Cricetulus griseus: one gene and its partners. The protein of the gene in region 2 binds, or shares a complex with, the protein of the main gene of each other region. Links are inferred from orthologs where the notes say so. Each region holds a gene or a part of one and is shown on either strand. Other genes may lie near its edges.

The links. The genes of interacting proteins can lie anywhere in the genome.
Region 1: the proteins of Ube2e2 (region 2) and Rlim are in contact, whole or in part, in a crystal structure (PDB 6W9A), measured with the Homo sapiens proteins. The link is inferred for Cricetulus griseus from reciprocal best matches to the Homo sapiens genes UBE2E2 and RLIM. Residues at the interface, in NP_001357154.1 of Homo sapiens: Lys52, Thr55, Lys58, Arg59, Lys62, Pro112, Asp113, Pro115, Phe116, Ile142, Asn146, Trp147, Ser148, Pro149, Ala150, Leu151, Thr152; in NP_057204.2 of Homo sapiens: Ser571, Val572, Cys573, Ile574, Thr575, Cys596, Arg599, Trp600, Pro608, Ile609, Arg611.
Region 3: the proteins of Ube2e2 (region 2) and Det1 are in contact, whole or in part, in a cryo-EM structure (PDB 9BJZ), measured with the Homo sapiens proteins. The link is inferred for Cricetulus griseus from reciprocal best matches to the Homo sapiens genes UBE2E2 and DET1. Residues at the interface, in NP_001357154.1 of Homo sapiens: Ala77, Gly78, Pro79, Lys80, Gly81, Arg88, Ser89, Thr90, Gly101, Val103, Phe105, Phe123, Arg124, Thr125, Arg126, Ser134, Gln135, Gly136, Gln194, Trp195, Arg198, Tyr199, Ala200, Thr201; in NP_001137546.1 of Homo sapiens: Arg258, Phe259, Tyr261, Asp264, Thr267, Val268, Phe272, Glu274, Asp289, Pro290, Phe291, Ile292, His297, Arg298, Leu300, Val301, Trp304, Arg305, Phe319, Phe320, Gln321, Phe323, Asp324, Arg327.

The regions. Positions count from the first base shown.
Region 1 is NC_048604.1:66,585,626-66,590,703, forward strand, and holds the start of Rlim (E3 ubiquitin-protein ligase RLIM), read left to right. Parts: upstream 1-2,041; 5' UTR 2,042-2,181; intron 2,182-4,038; 5' UTR 4,039-4,100; intron 4,101-5,078. UniProt on the Homo sapiens protein: E3 ubiquitin-protein ligase.
Region 2 is NW_023276807.1:175,703,667-175,707,980, forward strand, and holds part of Ube2e2 (ubiquitin-conjugating enzyme E2 E2), read right to left. Parts: intron 2,305-4,314; coding exon 2,157-2,304; intron 1-2,156.
Region 3 is NC_048596.1:118,770,349-118,775,360, forward strand, and holds the start of Det1 (DET1 homolog), read left to right. Parts: upstream 1-1,975; 5' UTR 1,976-2,114; intron 2,115-4,409; 5' UTR 4,410-4,524; coding exon 4,525-4,538; intron 4,539-5,012. UniProt on the Homo sapiens protein: Component of the E3 ubiquitin ligase DCX DET1-COP1 complex, which is required for ubiquitination and subsequent degradation of target proteins. The complex is involved in JUN ubiquitination and degradation.

The DNA of each region.
Region 1 (5,078 bases), on a different chromosome or scaffold from region 2:
AATGGCTAATAATGATCACACTTTACTTGCATGTATGCACATTTAGACTTCTTTCTAGGGGTTGGGTGTTTTGCTTAATGGTAGAGTGTTTCTAAGGCTGGTTCCTAGCACTGGGAGGTGGGGGGACACAAAAAGCTCTCTGTCTCTGTTTCTCTGTCTCTCTGTCCCCCCCCCTCTCTCTCTCTCTCTCTCTCTCTCACACACACACACACACACACACACACACACACACACACACACACACACACGGTAATTTAAAGAGTAAAAGAAAAAACCTCCACTATGACTAGCATTTAAAACAAACAAACAAACAAACAAACAAAAAACCAGGGTCTCACTCTAGCCCAGGCTGGCCAGGAACACACTATGTAGCCCAGACTGACCTCGAATTTGTTGCTATCCTGCTTTATTCTCTTAGGTGTTGTAAACACTGCCATGCCCAGATTCATTGTGGCTTTTGACACACATTACTTTTAAAAGTTACATGAATTATTGAGCAGGGAGTACTAGCGCAGGTTTGAAACACCAGTACTTAGGAAGTAGAAGCTTGATTGCAGATTCAAGGCCAGCCTGGGTCTCATCGAGACTCTCCATTTAAAAAAAAATATCTTTCACTGTAACTCAGGCTGGTCCGGAATTTACTATGTAACCCAGGATGGCTTCCAATTCTCAGCAATCCTCCTGCCTTAGCCTTCCCAGTTCTGGGGATTTATTGTATTCTTAAACGGTGAGATTAACAAATAGTTTATTAGTTAAATGCTTTATAGACAATTAAGCAAATAAGGGATTGGAGAAATTGTTAAGTTAAACACGGTGGTCACAAGAAGTTTCTCTGGTAGGTGAGGTGAAGCCTAGATGATTAATACAAAAATATCAAAGAAAAATATTTCATCCTCATTTATGTTTGTTTGGGTTTTTGTTTGTTTGTGACAGGGTTTCTCTATGTAGCACTGGCTGTCCTGGAACTCGATCTGCAGACCAGGGTGGCCTTGAACTCCTACAGACTGGGCCTCCTGTGTGTTGGGATTAAGGTGTGCTCCACCACCACCCGGCTTCCAGCCTAGTTTAAGAAACTGAGGTAGGAATAAAAAGCTATCTGTTTAGCAGAAGACAGGAAAATGGGGATGGTGGCACGGAGACATCCTTAAAACAGGTTTAAGGTTCTTTTCCCCTTTAACTGTTGAATGGGAACTGGGAGCTGTAGGGTGCATTCCTTTCATTCCTTCCCTTAGTCATCAGCAGGTAAGAAAGGCTTCCTTAACCAATCGTTTAGAATTCCCCTATCAGATTTTCCCATCCATTTGCAAACTCCGCCCCTTTAAAGTACTCAAGTTAGAGCCTCGTGGAGTCCTTCCTTAACACTTTTTAACATTGCAAATTGACTTTGTCCCTAAAGTGCACCCCTCCCCCACTTCAAATTGCAGCATTGAGGAACAAATAATGTATTTTAAATTTTTGTTCACTCTAGATTACCAAATCCCGTAGGAACTGAGAATTTCTATTTTTAGACTATTTCAACTTTATTTTGGGTTCAACTTTCTCAACATCTACAGCTGTGCTTGATCTACAGTTGGCACTTGGTAAATACATGTTGAATAAAACGTTGGCTGCGGTCTACACTAGTCTGGGACTGTGTGGATCAATGCCAGTGACATTTATAACACATTCTACTTCTCTGAAAAAGGCTTTGAGCGGCCCGACTGTGACGTCCTTCAGCTTTCAAAATGGGAATGCGAAGGTTCCCACAATTCTCAGAACGCGAATTTCTCGCCACAATTCAAAATGGCGAAGGAGGGTGGGGCCTGTCACATGGTGGGCGTCACAGCGGCAGTTTTTTCCCTACCCGCCTCCCGCCGCGTGCGATAGTCTACCGGTCCCCTCCTCTGCCCAGCAGGCCTTCTCGAGGAATCAACTGGGATTGGCTGGCTAGCAGTCTGGGACTGGGGCCTGTGAAGCGGGGACGCGGCATCATCACTTCCTGTTGTGGGCAGTCGTTTCCTGTCACTGCTAGGTAACAATGGGGAAGATAATGGCTGCTTGAGCTACGTCTCAGATCGAGCTCTGGGTTAGAGACGGGTCTCTACCAGGGGTTCGGAGGCGGGCTGGAGAGCGGCGGCTGCGTGGCAGAGCCCCGGTGAAGGCGGCGGAGCCCAGCGGGTCGGCTCTTGGCCGGGACACCGAGTAAGTGACGGCACGGGCACCCTGAGGAATGGGATGTCGGGCTGGGCAAGGCAGCGGCTTCCAAAATGGCCCGAGTGGCTGGCCGCGGCCGAGACAGCCAGCACGGCCTCCCGACCCGGGTTCGTGGTTGTTGGGGCTTCTATGGCGCAGTCGCCGCTGCCATTTTAGCTGGGTGGTGTGTGGCGGCCGGCTCATCGAAGAGGGGAGGCGGTGGGTAGGACTTCCTCTCCGTGGCCCTGGAGTCGCGGCCCGGCCCTCCCGAGCTACCAACGTCGGAGAGGCGCCCGGCCATCCTGACCTCCGAACGTCTTGGAGGTGCCCGGCCCTCCCGAGCTCCCCTCCCGAGCTCTGAACATCTTGGAGGTGCCCTGCCCTCCCGAGCTCCGAACATCGGGGAGGTTATCGTGGACTTTGGGCCTTGGGCATCAGAATCTCTCCAGTTCTCCTTACTCGGGAGTTTCCCCCTCGTCGCCCCGCGTTGCGGATGGGGTTAGGGTTTGGGGAAGTGGGGTGGAGGTGGAGGTGCTCTGAGTCAGATGTTGGGAACTCTTGGGCCTTTAGATTTTCCCAGGATTCGCAAAGCCCCATTTTGAACCCTTCTGGAGGGCATTGCCAATTAGTTGCCCTCTGGGGCTACGATGACAGTCTTCCCCTGAGGATAGGGGACAAATGTGGTTTGCTTCCTGCCTCCTTTAGCCCCGGTGTATCCTTGGCTAGATAGTACTAGAAGGATTCCCCCCCTCTTCCAAAAAAAAAAAAAAAAAAAAAAAACGGAGGGAAAAGACGTTGCGGGTTGTTTTCCCTGGGTGAGTGTGGGAATTGAGCCAGATTATTTTCAAGTTAATATCCGTGTGATCCGCCAACATTCATACCCCTCCCCCACTCAAAAAACCCCCTAAGGGTCTCGGCTTCTGCGGGCGGTACCTGCCACGTACGCCATAGCTTAGTAACTAGTATTAACCGGTTGGGCTTCTGCTTCCTGAATACTCAGTCCCTTTTCCCCTTATGCTGATTAATTTCAAGATGGTGGAGACAGCCACGTTCTTCCCTGGACAGTTTCACCATACTTATTCCACAGGTTATTCTAGCAGTCTGAGGCCTAGCAGACTAGTTATTAAGGTCATTTTTTTTCTTCTCAGGGGCAAAAAGATTTACATCAGATTCTCATGCACCACTGGCAGGCCCCACGATTTTTTTGGCTAGAAATCAGTTGCTTACATTTCTTGAATCCTAATTAACCACAGTGCGTTTAGATGATTGAAGACAGAAAAAAATAACAAATGTAGCGCTAATCATTTCTTTGATTCTTCATAATTACAAAGTTACTCATCTTCCCGTCAGATCAGAGTCTGGAGAGGAAGCAGGCACATTACAGGTCGGCCTTTTCCTCAAATCAGTTTCTGAAATACAGGTTAAGTATTTAGAAAGACCAACCCAAACACCCTTTAAAGTAACTATTTTAGGGCAGTTTTTCCTGAGAAAGGTCACAAACATTCTTTAGCCTAAGATGTCCTTATGGTTTCTATTACTTTAGTTTCTGCCTTAGGCTAGTTTAATGTACCAAATAAATCCTTGAATCCGAAAATAATTACTAGTCTGATAAGGAAATGGCTGTTTTAAAGAAGTTAATATTAAAAGGTAGATTGCCTCTTGGCTTTTAAAGGAAATATTTTATCTAACTCCTGGTTCCCTCTGGCCTTCTTGGTTCCTAAAATATCCTAATTCTAACATTGAATTAATTTGGGTTATGATTCGTGTAACCAAAATACATATGATATGTGTTTTTAAGAATTTGTTTTATTTCAAAGAAAATGTGGGGTTTATAACAGGAAGAATAATTAATTCTTTTTCTCCTAGAACAGAGTGAAGAAAACTAAAATCCAGTTTATTGGATTTCAGTACTATGTCATAACAGACAGGTAATTATTTTTTGTTTCTTCTCCTGATGGTGTGTATGTAGAATGTATTTACAAATATATGTTGTTGTGTTTTACAGTCCCTGTGGTTGAATGGTTTTTTAGTGATGAGGGTAGGTGTTTTTTTAATGTGAATGCAAAGGGTACCTGAAAGTCACCTATGCTTTAACAGTGAATTTTATTTTTAAAGTAATCTAATATTAGCCAAACTTCCATAGCACTGAAAGAAAAAATTAGGAAGCTTTAAGATATTGTTGGAATGACCTGGGCATATGAAATTGCTTTTAAATATTCAGTGAATAACTAAATGAAATCTCAATAGAATGTGAGTTATTTTGTCTGCCATTTTATTTTTCTCCCTTCAAGATTCAGGAAGCCATATTGGTATGTATTGCTCTGATTAATTCTGTTATTATTATCAACATTGTAAGATGACCACATAAATTTCTTGCACTAGCCAGGGCACTTAAAAGTAAGTGGGACATTTTAAGTGTTCCTAGAAAACAGATGCAAACTTGGGTGTCCAAAGCAAACTGCTGGACAGTTAACTAGGCTACATTTATAATTAACTTCTCTTGAAGAGTATTGCTAGGCTCTGGGTTTGGTGTGTATTATTTTGTAATCCTCACAATAAGATCTTCATGGGAATGTTAACTATTTTAAAGAGGAAGCAGACTTAGTTTGCCTCAGTGGAACAGAGGTGAGAGTTATCCAGTAACTGCATTATTTGGGTGGTTTGTTTATAGTTTCTGTTTCAACTATTATTGCTTCTTGGTGTAAATTGATAAATTTACTTTAAAAATAAGTCTGTCATGGTGGCCCACATCTGGAATTCTGGCACTTAGGGTGGGGTCAGACATAGGAGGATCACCACAATTTGAGATCAGCATGTGAATTCCTAGGCCAGCCAGTTTTACATAGTAAGACCTTGTCTAGGAAAAAAAATTACAAGCAGGACTCTTTTAAAGAAATAGCTCACCA
Region 2 (4,314 bases):
CTTACATTGAGGGAGAAAAAAAATCATACAGAGGTTGAAAATAACTTCATATAACAGTGAAGAAGCCCACTAAAGACTGGGTGCTGCATCTGTTTAAGGTAGATAACTTGCTCTGAGCATTCTTGAGACAGCCTCCTGATATACAGCCCAGACTACTCAAGCTTGAGGTGATCTTCCTGCTTCCATCTCCTAAATGCCGAAGTTACAGGGATGAGGTACCATGCTTCAGTGACATCTTTCTTTAAGAATCAGAGCCAGGATGATGGCTCACCCTTGTAAATCCCAGCACTTGGGAAGATGAGAAGGCTCAGGAGTTCAAGGTTACCTTTGGCTACATAGTGAGTTTAAAACTGGCCTGGGCTATAAAGATGCAATCTTAACCAAAATCAAACTGAACTCTACTGAAAGAACCCAGGAATGTCAACATTTGTACAGTGGAGTGTCACTCAGGTGGTCTTCTTAGACGCACCAGAATGTGATGATTAGCATATATCACAAACTGTTCTAGTCTCTTTTAAAATTATTTTTTATGTGTTTGGGTGTTTTTCTTGCTTGTACATCTGTGTGCTGTTTACATGCCAGGTGCCTGAGGAGGCCAGAAAGAGGTGTTGGATCCCCTGGAATAGGAGTTACAGATGGTTGTGAGCTGACGCTTGAGTGATGGGAACAAAACCAGGGTCCTTGGAAGAGCTGTCAGTGCTCTTAATCCCCTTTTTAGACTCCTATCACAAAAGTGGTTCATCTTCTAAGGACCACTATTATTTTCTGCCCTGATATTCCTACTGAATGCCAGTATTTAAAAAAATGCATTATTTCTTTAGTGGAGATGAGATGGGTCAGACAGGATCTCACCACGTAGCTCAGGCTGCCCTTGAACTCTCAGTCCTTCTGCTTCATCCTCCCAAGTGAGTGCTGCGGTTACAGAAGTACACCAGCAAACCTGGTGCAGGCCAGCATCCCTGGTTCAGAATATGAGCTTTTGTTTTGGTCAGGGGTGAGTTTTAGTTTTATAGACAATGTAAACTTTTGAGAGACACAGCAACACCAATCAAAGAAACAAGCAAACAAAACCCAACTGATTAACCAAAGTTCCAGCCTCTCTCCAACAGCACGACATATTGATAGCCATTTCTTTAGACAGAGGTGGATGAGTTCAGGGGACCTGTTCTGAAAGCAGGTGTTCACTGCTGATTTGTGGTAAAAGGCCAAAATCATCAAAACAAAAGTAACAACAAAGAAAGCCTCCTTGCAACATCACCTCTAAGTAAGGTCATACATGTGGCAGGCAGAAATGGGTGCAGCCAGGAGAGGATGGGCCTGCAGTGACAGTCAACTCTCATGGTGCCATCTGATCTGACTTTACTATCTACCTGGTGAGTGAACTAAAAACATTTCACAAGGGCCTTACCCAGGAGATGGGATTTCATGACAATTAATAAAACACTGAAAAATGCAAGTTTCATGGAGAGCATGAACAAAAACTACTCTAGGATTTCTGTATTTTCCAGAGTAAATCCATATATGAGCACAATTCATAGCTGGCTTGCCCTGTAGCTAAAGCAAAGTTGTCAAAGGCACATGATCACATGCAGAGGAAGAAACAAGAGTTGAGAACCTGAGTGCAAAGCTCAGCAGAGGGCCAAGACATGCCGATAGCCACCTTAGTTTCCTGGCAAGCCCTGCTTCCTGATTTAGATCCATTCAGTTTTTTTGCTAACAGCTTATCAGGGCGCACGGCTGCTACTGCACTGGAGGTCACATCTGTGTGGTGCTGCCTTGGCTGTTATGAGATTTTAATAGCCCACATTTCTCAAATTAACATGTCTACTAGGTATCTAATTAAAGATTAAGCTATTCAATTTGAATTTTTATTGTTATGTGGTAGGAGAATTTAATGCATTCTAAAATACACTTTTTCTCATTTAAAATGAGTTTTCATTAATTTTTATCATATTTTGTTTTAAATTTCTTTTGGTAAATAATAGGTTCAGAAAGAAGTGAATGGAAAGAACCAATCTAAAAAGAACACAGTTATAGAGCATGGAAAGTTAAAATCAATGATAATGAGCAGCTGGGGTAGGGAACACTAGCAGCATTAACAGGTTCAAAGGCAACCTTGTGCTTCTCAATCTGGTACCAGATCCAGGGCCACTCACCAGGGTTGCAGTCTGTAAGGAGTGAGCAGATGGACAGGAGGACTTTAGAGATGGTCAGGGCTGGACTCCAGTTGTCCTTGAGGATGTCCAGACAGATCACCCCTTGGCTGTTGATATTACAGTGGTAGATTCTCGTTCGGAAGGTGACCTGGGAGAAAATGCAAAGTTGCCATAAGAGGAAATGGCTGAGGTCCAGGCTGAAGTTTTTAATAGATATATGAAAATAATCAATAGATTAAAAATAAAGATAATTTGTGACAGAAAACAGAGCACTCAGTAGAATCTGCACACTGCTTCTGGTGTAGCTGAGGAGTTTAACTTGATGTAACCACAGGATGTTTATGAGCAGGAAATGGGCCCGACTTCTGAAATGTTTCAAAAACTTTTGGTGGATTCTAGTTGCTTTACTTTTTACATTTAGAAGATCCAAAAAAACCCCAAAAAAACAAAAAACAAACAAACAAACAACAACAACAACAAAACCCAGAACGCTTGGGAATAATACAATGAAGATAAGTGTTCTTTAATACAGTTTTAAAACACGAATGAGGGTATATAAACGTATCACATGCCTCTTTTATATAATTTCATGTTAAAACTGTATATGTTGGAAACAGATGCAGAGATGCACAACTGAGCACTGGGGATGAGCCACAATATAAGCAAAGAGATCAAGACCATAATGGGGAAACCCACAGAAACAGTTGACCTGAGCTAGTGTGAGCTCACTGACTCTGGACTGACAGCTGGGGAACCAGCATAAGACTGAACCAGGCCATCTGAATGTGGGTGTCAGTTGGGGGGCTTGGGGGACAATATGGGGCCTCTGGCAGTGGGACCAGGATTTATCCCTAGTGCATGAACTGTTTTTTTTTTTTTTTTTTTTTTTTTTTTTTTTTTTGAGCCCATTCCCTATAGAGGGTTATCTTGCTCAACCTAGATACAGGGGTGGGGAAGGTCTTGGTCCTGCTTCAACATGGTTTGAAGGACTTTGTTTACTCCTCATGGGAGGCCTTACACACTCTGAGGAGTAGATGGGGGTTAGGAAGAATGTGGGGAGGGTAGGAGGAGGGGAGGGAGGGGGAACTGGGATTGGTATGTAATATAAAAAAGATTGTTTAAAAGAACCTAAAAAACTGTATTTGTTATAATTTATTATTACTGTATTGTTATACTTCACAAAGTTATTCCTTATTAAATTTTATATTTGAATGTACTATTAATACAATCTTTTCCTATGATAGTAAGGTCACCATTATACTTGTCTTTAATTTGTAAAGTTATGACATAAAAATATTCTAGGGAAGAATGTGACTCTGGTTAAGATAACCTTTGTTCTTGCAGGGGCCTTGGGTTTGGTTCCCAGCACTGACTGGTATGGTGACATACAACTGCTAGCAATTCTGGTTCTAGGGGATTCAATGCTCTCTTTTGGTCTTTTGCACCAGGCACACATATGGTACACATATATGTATGTACATACAACACTTATACATATAAAGTAAAATAAAAACCTTATTTTACTAATAAGTAAATATTAGTAAATTTTTGACTAAGCAACAGTAAGATTTAAATGTTACTTATTATGACCACAAATTTCTAAAAGTTCTTAAATTTATAAATAAATCTTGGTGTTCTAAGGACCTGGTACCCTGAATTTACAATTGCTCAGAACCAGGAAAAAACACACATGACAGGGAGGCCTCTGTCATTCTGCCACTCAACCAGGCATCCATTCAGACATCAGGAGCACATGTAATTTGTAGGATGCCACATTCCAGGAGGGCAGAATCAAAGTGTCAGAGGCTGTTGAATACTATACCCCCATTCTCAGGCTGGATCAGAATCCAGCATCATGCCAGACTAGTCAATCTCTCTCCCCAACACGATCTCAAATGTCCAGAAACCTTGAAGAAAGAACCAGCCTTCTTCTAGGAGAATTCCTGGAGGCCACAACTAAAAACCCAAACCTACAGTCAGCATCAAGTAGGCAGTATGTGTGCTGAGGCAGGATTGGGGACGAGGAAAGGGCTGAAGGGTGACAGGCAGTCTTAATAAAATGAAAGCTTTAATTTTGATAACTTCAAGAAGGCAGATGAGCTCGTAGGCCTATATGTGGCCAGGAGTTTGAAAGCAGAGCCTATGCCTCAATCAGGAC
Region 3 (5,012 bases), on a different chromosome or scaffold from region 2:
CCCATTCGTGTAGATTAGATTCATTTTAAGGGGTTTTTTGTTTTGTTTTCGACACAGGGTTTCTCTGTGTAGCTTTGGAGGTTATCCTCGTACTCGCTCTGTAGACCAGGCTGGCCTCAATCGAACTCAAAGAGATCTGCCTGCCTCTGCTTCCTGAGTGCTGGGATTAAAGGCATGCACCACCAACGCCCAGCTTTTTTTTAAAGTTATTTTTACATGATGTGAGTTAAGAGTAGTTCCTCTTAAGGTTGACCTCACCCTATTCCCACCACAACCATAGAGAAGTGATAGTTTGCTTTCCAATCCTAAAACAGCTGTCATTAAGGAACTTCTACTTCCAAACTCCTAGGTCCTGAATTGAAGCAGTCGACTTGAACAGGTTCCATGTTGCTAGTTTAAATTTAGTCTTCTATCTGATCTCTCAATAACCAAATCAGAACATTACGCACATTAGAGATGGAAAAACAGACTTGGAGAAGCAGATATGTGTCTTGAAATCATACAGGGACCCACTTGGCTGAGTCAGAATTTGATCTGGAGGATGCAACTTTGTCAAGAAGGAGATGTATGTCTTGGGTGTTAATCACAGCCCTGCCACATGTTTGTTGAGCTTTGCTTTGGGAGAAAGTGTCATGTAGCCAAGGCTGGCAAACTTGCTTCACAGCCAAGGCTGGTCTTGAGCTCCTGATTCTCTCCTACCTTCACTTCCTAAGTGCCAGGACTATAAGATCTGTGCCACTACCCCTACTGACACTTATTCTTGTGTGAACTTGTGCAAGTGATATATGCCTCTCTTTGGGTCTTAGTTTCATCATGGAGAAGGAATATGCCCAGACAACTTCAGTAATGTTTTATCAAGACTTCAGGTGTTTGAAGATAGCATATTTAATACTTTGGATAACCTTAAGGGGCAGGTATAATCATTTCCAAGAAAAGGCAGTAGAGGCTCTGAAGCCACCACCTGAGAACACTCAACTTGGAAATGTTAGGACTGGGCCAGAAATCTTTCTCTTCACAGCTACTCTATATCCCTAAGTCACCTTTCTTCCTTTAGCTTCAATCCCTTGTCCTTTTCCCACCTCATAAAAGTCAACCAATATCTTTTCCTCGTGGTGTTGTGTGCAGAGTCTTTTTGGGGGGGAATTGGGGTGGGGACAGCAAGGTTCAACCTGACCTCCAGTTCTATATCCTATGCCTCATAAGAACTGGGGATATATGCATGGACCACCACTCGTGGCCCTCTGCTGGACTCTTTATTGAGCCTCTGTAAGATGGCAAACCTTGTTATAGGTGGGCCTGGAACAGAAAATAAGACAAAAAAACCTGTCCCCAGTTTATATTCTACCAGAGGGCAGAGAAACAAAATGCATAGCAACAAAAACAGATATTAGACTCAAGAGTGAAGAAATAGTGATGTTGGTGACACGGGAGCCTTAAGAGATGACATTTTGTGTTTGGTTTCCTGCCAAAGCATTGCAAAAATAAACAACACACACACACACACACACACACACACACACACACACACACACACACACACCACACACACGTAAAGATGACATATATGTAAAGACTTGAATGATCCAAAAGAGGGACAACTTAGGGTTAGACAGCCTAGGAGAAGCCACAGGCTCATAGGGAAGAAATAGCTTGTAAGAAATTAAAGTTCTATGTTAGTGAAAGACCAGAAAATGTTACGGGATTCATTTAGTACAGAAGATTTTATTGTATGCTCTGTGCCCACCAATAGCAGCGGGCCCGGAGAATGACACGGTGCATATATAATCACATTTTCCACCATTACAGGAGAAGTCGGTGAAAACTTAATTCCTATTCACGTTATTATGAAGGCTCCGGGCTTTTCACCCAGCCTCGATCCTTCGATCCCTCCTCCCGACGCCAGGGTGCGCTGCGCCGTTCCTCAGCTGGGTGGCGTCTCGCTCTTCCGTACTTCCCTTCTCGCTGCGCAGCACTTCCGGTAGCCGGCGGAAGCAAGGGGTCTGTGGCTGCCGACGCCGGGGTCCGGAGGCATGGCGTGGGCGGGGCAGGGGGAGGTGTGCACCGAGCAGGCTAGGGCGACCCTTGCCCCGGCCCCATGAGCCAGGACCCGACAGGTGAGGACTTGTCCTTTTCGGCCGGTGGGAGCTCCGCGGCGGGCTCCTCTCCGCATGATACCCGGGCCCCAGGAGCCCCGGCGCCAGGCTTTGCCCGTGAAGGCTCCGCCCTGGGCTTTTCTTTCCGGGGGCGCCCCTTGGGCATGTGTGTCTGCCTCTTGGCATCCTTTTCTTGTTTTGGAAGCAGTCGCCAAGTGAGGAGACATCTGCACTTGCTCTAACGAGGAAAAAAAACAAAAGAAAAAAACCAAAAAAAAAAAAAAAAAAAAAAAAAAAGAACCCTAACAATTTGCTTTCACACATTTAGTGACCCGATTTAGCCTGGCTTTCTTTTCGTTTCAGAACGTACCTAAGCGTCTACCATGTGCTAGCCCTAGAGCTAGATAAAGAATATACCGTGGTGACTGAAGTAGACCTGGTTACTTCCAGTAGAAAGAGTATAGTTCAGCGAGGAGAATTAAACATTAAACACAATCATGCAATCGAACATGCAAATAAAAGTTGTGACTGAATACTATAGAAAGAACAAGAAAAAGATGAGTCCTAATTTAGGGAGGATGGTAGGGAAAAAAAAAGACTTCCCAAAAGTTGACACTAAGGTTGCAACAGGAAAAGTTAAGGCAAGGACCAGGGAGAATGCATTTGAGAAAAGGAAGGTACCTCTGTGTTTTCCCACGTTGGTCAAGAATATGACTTGAGGTAAGCCCAGTGTTTAAGAAGGGAGCTTGGTAGGTGTCAAGCACTGGGGTGGGCATACAGAAGAGGTGTGTAGCTGACCCAGAGAGATCACTATAAGTATACATATAAGTAAAATACAGAGAATTGCAGGGAAAGAGAGGTGTGGCTACCGTGTTGGGATATCAGGTCTCATGAAGTGAAAAAAGGCCTTCAAAGACAAGATGTTGGAGTTGATACCCCAGGTAGTTCTCAAAGGTGAAGAGTTTAATTTCTACAAAGGCCAGATAGTATATTTCAGTCTGTGATCTGTTACAGACACTCAGCACTTCTTTCCTAGGGCTAAAGTGGCCATAGGCAATATGTAAATGAATGAGTGTGGTTGGGTTCCAGGGAAAGGTTCTTTCCTAAGTCAACCAGAATAGTAGTTTAGAGTCTGACCTCCTCAGGTCTAGCTCAGCATGCGGTTTAGATCCTTATCCTGTGGAGTAGTTTATCCATGGATAAGTTTGAAACAAAAGGATTGCAAAACAATACCCTTACTATATGTTGTAACTTTTTGTTTGTTTTGTTTTATGGTGCCGAGGATCTGGGCTACTTGTTAGCAGAGCCTTTGCCAGAATCACCTCCACCCCAGCTTTTGATTCCTTTCTGATGATTATTGATGTACTTTCTTTGTTGGCCATTTGTATGCCTTTGGGGAAATGTCTTTCAAGTATATCTTATCTGTCTGTATTTATTTATTCATTTATTTTTAAATAATTGGGTTTTGTGAGTATTTGTTGGGTTCTGGGAGTTTTTTTAAATAGGCTGAGTATTAACTCTTTATTAGATATTTGACCAGCAAATATTTCTGTTCATTTTGTAGGTTGCCATTTCACTTTTTTGGGGTGGTGGTGGTTGTTGTTTGTTTTTTGAGAAAGGGTTTCATTGTGTAACTCTGGCTGTCTTGAACTTGATCTGTAGATGAGGCTGGCCCCAAACTCACAGAGATCTACCTGCTTCTGCCTTTCCAGTGCTGGGATTGAAGGCGTGCGCCACCAAGCCTGGCCCCCTTCCACTTTCTAGTTGTAACTTTTAGTGTATAATGTTTTTATGTATTCATGTTTAATCATCTTTTAGATGTGTTACCCATGCTTTTGGTTTCACATCGTAAGTCATTAGATCCATTTTCATCGAGTTTCTCCCTGTGGTTTCCCTTGAAAGTTTTATAGCTATAGGTCTTCCACTTAGTTAATTCATTTTGAGTTAAGTTTTGTAAATGGTGCAAGATAAGGGTGTAATTTTATTTCCAAGATTCTTTTTGCTTATGATATCCATTTGTCCAGAAGCCGTGCGCTGGAGAAACTCCCCTTTCCTGTTGTGTGGCCTTGGCCTTACTGAATACCAAATGCTGTTTGCCCATGTGTGAGCTTCTTAGGGTTTGGCTCCATATCTGGGAAATCAGCTTAAAGGAGGAGAGCTTTGCTGTGTCTTAGTTACAGAGGGCTCAGTCCATCATTTTGAGGGAGGGTCTGGCAAACGGGAAGCAGAGAAAGGGGGGTAAGGAAAGGGTCAGAACAAGATTTAGCCTCCAAAGTCAAGTGTTCATATCCTGTTTCCTCTGCTTCTTCCACTCAGGCTTTCCTTCTACCCATCATCACCTCCCAGTAATGCTGCCATTATGAATCCACAAGATATCAATCCGTTGATTAGATCAGAGCCCTCATAATCTAGTGGTCTCTGGAACTGACTTATGGACACCCAGAGGTATGCTTCACTGATTCCTGGAGCACGGTTCTCAACCTCCCTAATGCTGTAACCCTTTAATACAGTTCTGCATGTTATAGTGACCCCCCAACCATAAATTATTTTTGTTGCTACTTCATAACTATAATTTTGCTACTGTTATGTATTATAATGAAAATGTCTGTGCCTTCTGATGATTTTATGTAACCCCCGTGAAAGGATTGTTCAGCTACCAAAGGAGTCGTGGCCCACAGGTTAAGAACCTAGAGGTTTCTTTCTTTCCTCTTTTTTTTTTCTTTTTTTCTTTTTTCTCTGTGTAGCTTTGGAGCCTATCCTGGCACTCGCTCTGGAGACCAGGCACAGAGATCCACCTGCCTCTGCCTCCTGAGTGCTGGGAATAAAGGCATGCGGCACCAACGCCCAGAGAACCTAGAGGTTTCTAATCCAGTTCTGTTGATAAGATTAATCATGGTTTATTCTGAGACTCCATTCTTT